Linked DNA regions of Xenopus tropicalis. The protein of the gene in region 3 purifies or fractionates together with the protein of the main gene of each other region. This does not show direct contact. Links are inferred from orthologs where the notes say so. Each region holds a gene or a part of one and is shown on either strand. Other genes may lie near its edges. The genes, in order: akap9, pde4dip and prkar2b.

What was found.
Region 1: the proteins of prkar2b (region 3) and akap9 purify together in Homo sapiens (affinity purification with mass spectrometry; 3 studies listed by BioGRID and IntAct, counting the BioPlex papers as one, with this or other methods). This does not show direct contact. The link is inferred for Xenopus tropicalis from reciprocal best matches to the Homo sapiens genes PRKAR2B and AKAP9.
Region 2: the proteins of prkar2b (region 3) and pde4dip purify together in Homo sapiens (affinity purification with mass spectrometry; 4 studies listed by BioGRID and IntAct, counting the BioPlex papers as one, with this or other methods). This does not show direct contact. The link is inferred for Xenopus tropicalis from reciprocal best matches to the Homo sapiens genes PRKAR2B and PDE4DIP.

What each region holds. Positions count from the first base shown.
Region 1 is NC_030682.2:31,455,176-31,458,930, reverse strand, and holds the start of akap9 (A-kinase anchor protein 9), read right to left. Parts: upstream 2,318-3,755; 5' UTR 2,164-2,317; coding exon 2,110-2,163; intron 1-2,109. UniProt on the Homo sapiens protein: Scaffolding protein that assembles several protein kinases and phosphatases on the centrosome and Golgi apparatus. Required to maintain the integrity of the Golgi apparatus. Required for microtubule nucleation at the cis-side of the Golgi apparatus.
Region 2 is NC_030680.2:118,160,438-118,164,192, reverse strand, and holds the start of pde4dip (myomegalin), read right to left. Parts: upstream 2,452-3,755; 5' UTR 2,050-2,451; coding exon 889-2,049; intron 1-888. UniProt on the Homo sapiens protein: Functions as an anchor sequestering components of the cAMP-dependent pathway to Golgi and/or centrosomes.
Region 3 is NC_030679.2:76,660,103-76,663,757, forward strand, and holds part of prkar2b (cAMP-dependent protein kinase type II-beta regulatory subunit), read right to left. Parts: intron 2,207-3,655; coding exon 2,053-2,206; intron 1-2,052. UniProt on the Homo sapiens protein: Regulatory subunit of the cAMP-dependent protein kinases involved in cAMP signaling in cells. Type II regulatory chains mediate membrane association by binding to anchoring proteins, including the MAP2 kinase.

The DNA.
Region 1 (3,755 bases), on a different chromosome or scaffold from region 3:
TAAATGTGTCTTGATTAAAAGTATACCTAAATAGGAAGAAAACAGACACACAAGTACATACACTCGCACCTATATTCTGTATGCACACACTACAACACTAATCCATGGCATGCAAAAAACCTTACACCAATGAAAAAAGTTATTTAAGTACACATACATTCTATGTACCTGCCATTTGGCATATATGTGGGTATAAATGTGTGTTTATTTTTAAGTATTTCTCTTCAACAGATACACAATTACGCACCCTACAACACTTACCCATGGTATACATGTAAAATTAACACCGATAAAAAAAGTGATTTAAGCACGATACACATTCTAAATAGAAGTCAATTTGTATAGTTGAGGGTTTAAAAACTATTAAGTATTCCACTGAATGTGTATCATTTTGTGCACATACTGACACAGAAGCTGCACACAAACATATAATACCACAAAGTGAAACATACACTGCACTTAACATAATAGGCAAACAGGATCCAGACACACCAAAAGCACACAGAGACACAAGAAACCAGTTGCACCAAGCAGCAAAGTGATGTGAAGCAAGTACCACAATGATGCACAGAGACATGCACAAGTGAAGGGAATGGTACAAGGCCCCAGGGTACATAGAGTGATACATGCACAAGGTGGCTCATAGGTAGAATGTTTGGGTGACATGTGCACAATGTGGCTAATGGCAAGGCATAGTGACACATGGACAGAATGCTGTAAGGTGCCATGCACACACAGGAGGTTGGATGGTGACACATGGACAGAATGCTGTAAGGTGCCATACACACACAGGCGGTTGGATGGTGACACATGGACAGAATGCTGTAAGGTGCCATACACACACACAGGAGGTTGGATGGTGACACAAGGACAGAATGCTGTAAGGTGCCATACACACACAAAGGAGGTTGGATAGTGACACATGGACAGAATGCTGTAAGGTGCCATACACACACACAGGAGGTTGGAAGGTGACACATGGACAGAATGCTGTAAGGTGCCATACACACACACAGGAGGTTGGATGGTGACACATGGACAGAATGCTGTAAGGTGCCATACACACACAGGAGGTTGGATAGTGACACATGGACAGAATGCTGTAAGGTGCCATGCACACACACAGGAGGTTGGATGGTGACACATGGACAGAATGCTGTAAGGTGCCATACACACACAGGAGGTTGGATGGTGACACATGGACAGAATGCTGTAAGGTGCCATACACACACACAGGAGGTTGGATGGTGACACATGGACAGAATGCTGTAAGGTGCCATACACACACACAGGAGGTTGGATGGTGACACATGGACAGAATGCTGTAAGGTGCCATACACACACACAGGAGGTTGGAAGGTGACACATGGACAGAATGCTGTAAGGTGCCATACACACACACAGGAGGTTGGAAGGTGACACATGGACAGAATGCTGTAAGGTGCCATACACACACACAGGAGGTTGGATGGTGACACATGGACAGAATGCTGTAAGGTGCCATACACACACACAGGAGGTTGGATGGTGACACATGGACAGAATGCTGCAAGGTGCCATACACACACACAGGAGGTTGGAAGGTGACACATGGACAGAATGCTGTAAGGTGCCATACACACACACAGGAGGTTGGAAGGTGACACATGGACAGAATGCTGTAAGGTGCCATACACACACACAGGAGGTTGGATGGTGACACATGGACAGAATGCTGTAAGGTGCCATACACACACACAGGAGGTTGGAAGGTGACACATGGACAGAATGCTGTAAGGTGCCATACACACACACAGGAGGTTGGAAGGTGACACATGGACAGAATGCTGTAAGGTGCCATACACACACACAGGAGGTTGGAAGGTGACACATGGACAGAATGCTGTAAGGTGCCATACACACACACAGGAGGTTGGAAGGTGACACATGGAGCCAGTGACATAGACACATCAGAATGGCAGGGTGGCACCCAGACAAACAGGGCGGCGGGACAGCTCGCACAGACACAGCACGCCAGGAATATGCAAACAATGGAAGCCCCCCTTCCCCAGTGACAGCTGTCAGAGGGAGACACACACACAGACACAAAGCCTCCCCACATTCCCTTACCTTAGCCTTGCCGGCCTCCAGCTTCCTCTTCCTCTCCTGGTCCTCCTCCTCCATGCCTGCGCCTGTACAGACACACACAGCAATGCGCAGCGTTAGCTACAGCGCCTACCGCTCTCTCCCATCTCCACGTAAACATTCGGCGCACTCCTCTGACGTCACCCCAGCGCCCGGCAGCGGCGAGAGAAGTCAGTGGGGGCGGCACCGATTGCAGCAGTGGCAGAACTAGGAGTTGACAGCTGCTGTTGCGCTGCTGCAGTTCCCAGACACTTAAAGGGGCACTGCCCACACCAAGGCATTGTGTGCAAAACAGACAGAACAAAGACAATCTAGCATGTGAGCTATACTTAACCAGCACATGTCCTTATAATGAGAAATCTTTTCTTACAACGTGGTATTTAAGTGTAATATTTTCTTTAAATTGTAATTATTACTTAAAAAAGTTATTTTGTCTCTAAAATTTAAATGGTATACTATAACAATAGCATGACTTTGGATATATAGTAGTTGAGGTTAGACAAAGACACATCTGTCAAGTTTACCTTTATGCTCTGTTATTGCTGTTGGTTTACAATGCAAACCAATCATCTAATGTTTTTGCATTGAAAACATTTAGCAAGGGCCAATCCCTGCTGTGAATATGGTGCATCATATAGGTACCATTACTCTTACCAGAACTACTTTAATGCAACGGTACTTACTCTATCTGAACTGTATTTATTGATGATGTCTCTACCCACCTCTTACATTCCAGTTATTTGAGCACTCCCAGAACTCCCAGTGGGCCCCTCTGACAAAGCAATATGTGATCGCTGTATGAGGAGGAATTTTAGCTCATAGTAATTTAGCTCACAAAACCTATAAGAGAACCCTGGAATTATTTTGTACAGTTCATTTGTGCAGAGTCAGAACAGGTTGAATGGGCACACTGGTGTTCTTTTCAAGATGCAAAGGAGTGTTTATGGGTTCAAGTACCTTTGTATATAGCATCAAAGCGTATTTTTTAGCTAGTGTTTGTAGGAGGCTTCATATTATGTTCCATTAAGGTAAACATAAAGAATTATCCCATATGTGATGGGCTTGAACTCAGAAGTAGCTCTACAGAAAAGAGATCTGCGTATGACCACTATGGTTACTGTTGCTATTGTTGACAAGCAATATTGCAGTAATTACTCATGGGTATAAATACAAATATGCAGATACTGGAGGCAGTGTGCTTACAGTGAGAATACATTTTACTGAAAAACAGTGTTTAAGTTCCGTTTACAGTTGGTAGCTTTATCACTTTCAATAAAAGGGTTACAGAAACCGAATGTATTTAGACATCGAGGGGATGGTAGCAGTCTTATTAATGCTGTGAACCGGTGCAAATGTGCAGGGAAGGGAAGAAAAAGAGCAAAGAAAGAAGAGAGAAAAGAGGTAAAGAAAGAAAGAGAGAAAAAAATATATATGTAGTGTAGTAATTTCTCAATTCTGATTAGTAAACACACCTCAATCAAACTTATAGTGCAAATTTTAAAAAATGCTAATCAACCTTATAGTTGTGCAAAGACCTATTGGTGCCAATGTATAGTGTTGTTGTTCCACAACACCAATAGGCAGAGTACACCTCTCCAACAATTTACAAAGTGTTCAAGTGCTACTGGTTC
Region 2 (3,755 bases), on a different chromosome or scaffold from region 3:
GGGTTTGTGTAGGAGTGGCAAGATTTGGCTGGATTGTGGGTGGGCTTTGCCATAGCTAGGAAGTGGCCATGGATGTCGCTGTTCATGCAAGGGGCATATTTTTTACCTTGGGGCTCCATTTTTCTTGTTGGCAGGGCACAAATCCCAGGGGGCCAAGGTAGACAGTGGGTTAATAACTGGGGCGCCGTAGGGAAACGACCTGCTAATTTAGTAGTATGGGAACTCATAATTACCAATAGCAGATCCTAGTGAGTTTAGGATGCAGCCAATGTACACACAGCAATCTAAATACTAGTGGGAACATAGCAAGGCATGTAAGTAAGCCTGTTATGCTTAAAAAGTTGGACTCTATTGGGAAGAAGGATAAAGCCAAGTAAAGTAAATTTAGGATAGAATTCAGCCTAACCATTACCCTAATAATAAACCCAATGCTGCTTTATAATATATATTATATTATATATATATATTATATATATATATATAGAATCAGAATCTAGCCCGTTATGACAGACCTCTAGTAAGGATATATTAATCTTAAATGGATATATTAATGCATAAATAATGCATATAACTGTCTGGTGTAGAAATTGTTCTACGAGAAGGTGCTTGGGAAGGAAAAGCGGAGGACTTCAGTGGACTGCAGGAGCATGACATACTTTCAGGCAGCTGAAGGGCCTAAATGAGAGTTTCAGGCTGATCAAACTGAGGCGATCCTCCACTGATGAGAAAAAATGCCTGTGACCACCGAAACGAACCCTGCAACTTACTGCAATTGTCTGTCCCCATGCACATGGGGCAGATTTTGGACAAAAAAAAGGAACATTTGAAACAGATATCTGGCTATAGAACAGGAGCTTTACAATTTTGCACATTTGCCAGTATATATACCTGTGTGTGAAGCGGTATATACTCTTCATAGACATCTTGCCATAGGTCTTGCACATCATAAAGTTCAGGCACAAAGTCCTGAGCATTACTGGGAGGGGATTCTGCAATGATGCCCAGGAACCCAAGCCCAGGCGAGGGGGTGGCAGACAGGCCACTGGCCACCATGATGTTTGGTTTGAAGTCATGTAGCCTAGACTTTACAGGTATCCTGCAACCACGAGGGATTTGTACAGGCTTGTAGTTAAACACTTTAGCCAAAAGAAAGGCAAATTCACTTCTACTACCATTGACGGGGGAGTGGGCAACATGATTAATGGAGCAGTAGTCACATTTAGCATCATCCCCAGGAGGCTTGCAGGGTTCCTCCTCTTTGTGAGAGGGAGTAGCAGCAGCATCCATGTGAGTAGCCAGGGATTCAGCAGAGGAACCAGAGGACAATCTGAGCCCATCTCCCTCTGGTGGTGCCTTGGCCTCTGGCAGTGGCTGAGGTGGCGGCTGGGTGACCATGGTCTCCTCAGTGCAAAAGCTGGCAGAGCCCTTGGTTGAAGGGCCACATGAGGGGCTCCGGGCCACTTTCCTGGGTACCTTACAGACTGCTTCATAGTCAGAATCTGCCACTCTCAGGCCGGAGCAGCCACGGCAGCGCCTGGGTCGGACTCCCCCGGTGTCAGTGTGCTGGCAGTGCTGCGGCTCCTGGCTCTGCTGGTCCAGCTCTGCCCAGTACTCATAGCCAGAATAGGCGAAGTCCTCCTGGAGCAGAGCCGAGTAGCGCACATCTGGCAGCTCGGATATGTCCACTGTGCCGCCCTCTGCCGCTGGTCTGCTGTCTGGCCCGGTGTCTGGCCCATCCTCCTCGCTGTTATGCTTCCTGTAGAGGCCGGCCAGGCAGTGCTTGAGGCGCTCCTTCTCGGAAATCAGCTTGTGCAGCCGCTCAATGGATAACGCCTCGATGCGGGCGATGACAGTGTCAAAGCGGCACATCCGCTCCAGCATGAAAGCGCACTTACTGCAGGCGAACTCGGCTCTGCCATCGCGGGGCACCTCCCTGCCCAGGACGTGACACAGCAGCACCTGCAGGTTGAGCTTCGAGGCGGTGTGAAAGATCCAGCGGCGCTGATTCCCGCACAGCTCCCGGCCGCAGATCCGGCAGGACTCCTTCATTATTACTCCGGCCTTTCCCACATGAACTCACTCACAGCCAGCCTGCCATTCCTGCAGCATGTACCGAGCCTGCGCAGCCAGCACTGTTGCCAGAGCAGCACCTAGCTGCCTCCATGTATAATGAATGGGGCAGTGCGGGGAGGGCACGGCAGCCAGGTTACATAGAGCTGTCACTGACGTGGCTCTTTACCAGCTGTTATTCCTGGGATTCCCGGGCTAGCGCTATCCCGAAGCCTTTCAGCCAAACACCCGCACAGAGAGCGCCTTCATTCCTCCCTGCCGAGCTGTCATCAGCCGCAGCATCTCAGGTCCCCACCCATCTGGTACCGCTAGCCGGCTAGAGCTGCTTCCCTGTCTCACTCGCAGGCAAGATGGAGGCTGCTACCCGCGCAAGGGGGGCCGGGAGATGTAGTTGTGAGGGGATCCAAATGCCGGGCATGCGCAGTGCCATTAGCACAGTTTCCCTTTTCCCCTAGTTATTTCATTAAAGCTGTGCGCCTTGACAGCGTATCTTACTTGCCCAGAAAAAATAGAATTATTTCATCAGACTAAATGACAAAGCTAAATGAAGTCTGGTAAAAAAACAAAACATTCTGTGCTATAAATCATGCCATATCCTTGTCTTGACTGCTAAGGTAACTCCAAAATGGAGAACTGCGGAACAAAAATTGAAACAATTGAAAAAAACTAAGATTATAAAAAATGAAGACCAATTGAAAATTGTCTCAGGATATTACTCTCTACATCATACAAAAAAGTTAACTCAGAGGTGAACAATACCATACCACCCCAAACTTTGGCATGGCCAGTCTTGTCCATGTGAGGGTCCCTGAGCAATGTGACCTATCAAACCTTGCAGAGGTTGTACAAAGATTGGGCAGGCTTGATAATGTAGGAATTAGTAAAACCAATCAAAACCCAAATTGCTTATAGAAGAAAAAACACAATTCATATCATGGTTCCACTAAAGTGAAATCATATAGAATTTAAGGTTGTTGTAAATACAAAAAAGCCCAAGGCCGGGTGGGGGGGGATTCATTTAATAGAGGCCTCTGTATTGTAATTTAACAGCATATTATCTACTGCTAAAAAGTACTTTTGTCCTAGTTCACAGGCGGGTGCATTTGATTTCTTTTTACATAAAGATATTTTTGTCTTTCCCAAGCGCTCAGTAAATGCCCTGAGAGGCTCTCATAAGCACTCATTCAGTGAACACCCTGAATTTGATTTTCTCTATGCAGGAATCTGGTTGGCACCAATTGTAAAGATGCAGTGCACCATGGCTGTGTTTAAAGATAAGTAGGTAAACCCACACAGTATCTAAAGTCTGCATTAGAGAATGTAGCTGGCTGCTTATGGCAATCACAACCACATGCAGCAGTCCGTAATACCACACACCCTTGCCCCTGGCAGAATAAGCTTTTATTAACAAATGTAGCAGAATGTAATGTTAGCTGTGCTTTAATCCTCTTAAATAACACACAGGGTCAAAAAAGGATAAGAAAGAAAAAATATACACTTTTAGCATGAAGGTTATTTGTGTTGGAAGCCCCACACACCACCAAATTGTATATCCAATAAACTGCTTTCTGGGATACTAATGTTCAAAAATATTATAACAACCACCAAAATACAAATATTAAGGGATTTTTGAAAAATGAAATAGAAGCCAATGTAATGTCCCTTTGATTGCAAGCTAGAAAAGC
Region 3 (3,655 bases):
CTGTCTTATTGAAACCTCAGGCATACAGTTTTGATTGCTCTTTATTGCTGAACTGTGTGATATCACTGTGTCAAAATTAAAAGCGTCTCTCTGAAGCCTTTAGAAAGAAGGTTATAGATGCCTATGAGTCTGGGAAGGGGTTTAAAAAGATCACCAAACAATTGGACATCAGTCATTCCACTGTGTGGATCATCATCTGGAGAAGATTTCAAACAACTACCTGAAAACTGAATGCAAGATTCAAAAAGAAATTTATAGGAATCCTAGAATGGACCTTCAAGCAGCACTTGCCATTATTAATGTCAAAGTGAATAAGTCTACCATTAGAAAGAAGCTGCAGAAACTAGATCTACATGGGAGGTAACCCATGAGGAAAATTTAGCTGTCCAGAAAGATCATCAGTGCAGTACCTAGGCACAAGAATTCAAAGAAAAATGTGCTCTCAACAGACAAGACTAAAACATTCTGGTGAGAACAAAAGTTAGCATTTCTACAGAAAAGCCTGATGCCAACTGTAAACATTGTGGTGAAAATGACAACATAGTTTGGGGCTCATTTGTTGCATCAGGGCATAGGCATCTCACCATCATAACATTCAGTCTAAATTCTTCATTGTATCATAGTGTGCTTGTGGATATTTTGAAACCATCTGCCTAAAGACAGAGGCTCAACAGAAAGTGGACCTTGCAGCATGGCAAGGTCCATAAATATTCCAGTAAATTCACCAAGAAATGGATGAAAAAATAGAAATAGAGGGTTCTGAAATGGCCAAAGACCAGATTGTGAAGCTGTGGATGCAAGAAACTCCTCAAACACTGTAGAGCTGAAAAACATATACAGCGAGGAGTGGAAAAATATAAAAAAGAAAACCTCCTACTTGCGGCTGTTTTTGCCAAATGGGGCAATACCTTTCAACACCTTTATATACTGTTTCAGATCAGTTATTTATATCTCTACATATGCTAACAAAGAAATTTATATGGGGCGTACTTTCACATGACATGTACATTGTCCTGCATTAGACCTTTTAACAACTGTACATTGTATGGTATAGTTATGCAGGTGGTTAGGCGCAGAATGGAGCAGCATAGTAGAACAAAGGTCAGCATGGCTGCCTTGCAACACATGGGTTTCTCGCCTTGAATCTGACCAAATTACTATCTGCATAAATATTATATGTTTTCCCATATCTTTGTGGCTTTTCTCCTAGACTCCTAGAAACTGGCCGTGTGTGCATGTGTATTTAATGGGACTGATGCAAATGAAGAACAATCTCTGTAAATACTGTGAAAGATGTAGGCCCTATAAAAAGAATAAAAATAAGAGGCCTAACTTAGATGAAGAAGACGAGTGAACAGAGTCAGCACAATATCTTTACAATTATGTTTTTAGTTTGGCACTTTTACAGTATAAATCCAATTGCATCAACATTTTTCAGATTATTTTCCAAATTGTGCAATGCAAATCTTACAGAAAAGAGGATGTTATGTAAATCAAATGACTAGATTCATGACCTTTTATAATGTTAACAACCCTATAGAGAAGCAGCTGTCATTTAAGGTATTTAAATACTAAAACAGCAATGGGATGTTAGAATTGTGCTACTGTTTGTTTTTGCCTCTTTAAGATTGCATTCTGACATTTCAGGGATTTACCACCTCCCTACTGCACAACAGCATGAAAACAACTTAGCATTTCTTCTTCAGAAAGCTAGGGGTTAAACCAGCAGGGCCACAACAAATGATTAAGCAGGTGTTGCTTAAGTAGGTGGAATGAGAGTCTGCCAAAATTGTAGGACCCCTGTAAAGCTTGAAAAATGACCATGAATTTTTTATCTCATGCTGTGTAGTGGGAAAAAAAATCTTCCTCTTATTAGCTTTATGTGCACAGCTATAACAGCTATGATGTGTCAGCTCAAATCTCTTTAATTTGTTTTATCACGGTTATAAATATTAATGTAATTAACTGAGCTATAAAAAAGTGGCTACAGTGTACACACACACACATAATGTCTTCAAGTATAATTTGTAATAAGCACATGCAAATACTTACCAAACCCCATATGGAACCAACAGATGTTGCAACAATTGTAGCAGCTCTAGGTGTATTATACATTAATGCCAATTCCCCAAAACTTCCACGATTATCATAGGCACCAACACACCTCACAACTCCATCTGATTTTACAAAAATATCATAGGTTCCTCTGTTTAAAAAAAAAAAAAGAGAATCTTATCTGTAATATGTATATATATATATATATATATATATATATATATATATATATATATATATATATATATATATATATATATGGAAAAAATCACGGAAGTCGCACACACAGGACTTATACAAAACAAAAAATTCTTTTTTTATTGCCAGAGGAGTGAACTAACGTTTCGGCTGTTACACCAGCCTTTGTCAAAGTTGTAGCAGCAAAGGAGAAACACACATAAATACTGTGTATGGCGGGAAAAATCAAACAAAGAAGTGAAAAAACTTTCATGACGTGTATAGTGCACAAAACTACCAACCCCACCCATCACATTAACATATCATTAAAATGCTAATTATAAGGTGTTAGTACATCGATACCCTGATACGGACAATGTATAATCAAGGCATTAGCAAAGAAAATTTATACGCACAAACAACAAAATTCCGAAGTATACTAAAGGGGTAGGTGCTGGGTGTGAACACAGGGAAAGAATTACATAAGACGAATACTAACGAAACACAAACGAATATTGTTGGGAAAATTAAAATAAAATAATTATAGAAAAAACAAATAAAACAGTAGAAGTCGGAAAACGAGTATCGGTGCAAGAGGAAACGTGAACGTACGTGACACCAGGTAAATAGAAAGAAAGAAACCCATCTCCGGTAAAGGTAAGTCCAAATAAATGGTACAGTGAAGAGCAAAGGGAGAAGGTAAGTATCAGCACGGAATCCCACCAAGGAATACCACCTCGAAACATACCGAAATATGCTAGGCGCTCCAAGCGCTTCCTAGTGACATCGTGGCAATCGGACCAAAGAGTTACAGCATATAGGGCAAGGGCAGTGGCATACTAAATCGCTAAAGGGGGCACTGTACTCACCAAAAGATTTTCGGTGCACTTACATTGTAAGGCAGCACCGTAGCCTGAGGCACATAAGAATACCGGCTCCACGGTAAACGGCCAGCTGACGAGTAGAAGCGCAGATGGAAGTGCAGGCTTAGAGGCTGGAACCCGGGCTATGGTGCGCAATAGGCAAGTGGAGACATGATCAAAAATTATTTCCCAAGAAAGCACCATCCGGTACATAGAGTCGAGAGACTGGTCCGCACATGTGGCACAGGAACCCGTATTTGGTAGCGGGACACGGACCAACACGGCATTCCTATTGTGTCTCATGCGCTAAAGTAGCATAGTAGTAGTGGAGCTAGGTAATGAAGCTCATGATTTTTAGATAGCATCTATGATGCCTTTGTCCAAGGTGCCAATCGCCTTAATATAGGCCACAAGATGGTGAGTCTGCTGCAATTGTATATACGTTGTCACACTAGGGGATAGACTATAGATATGTGCCGCCCTTTGCCACTGCCAATGTCAAATTGGGGAGCCAATTATACCGACGTGCCACCAGCGCTGAAGACACTGTATTGTTGGAG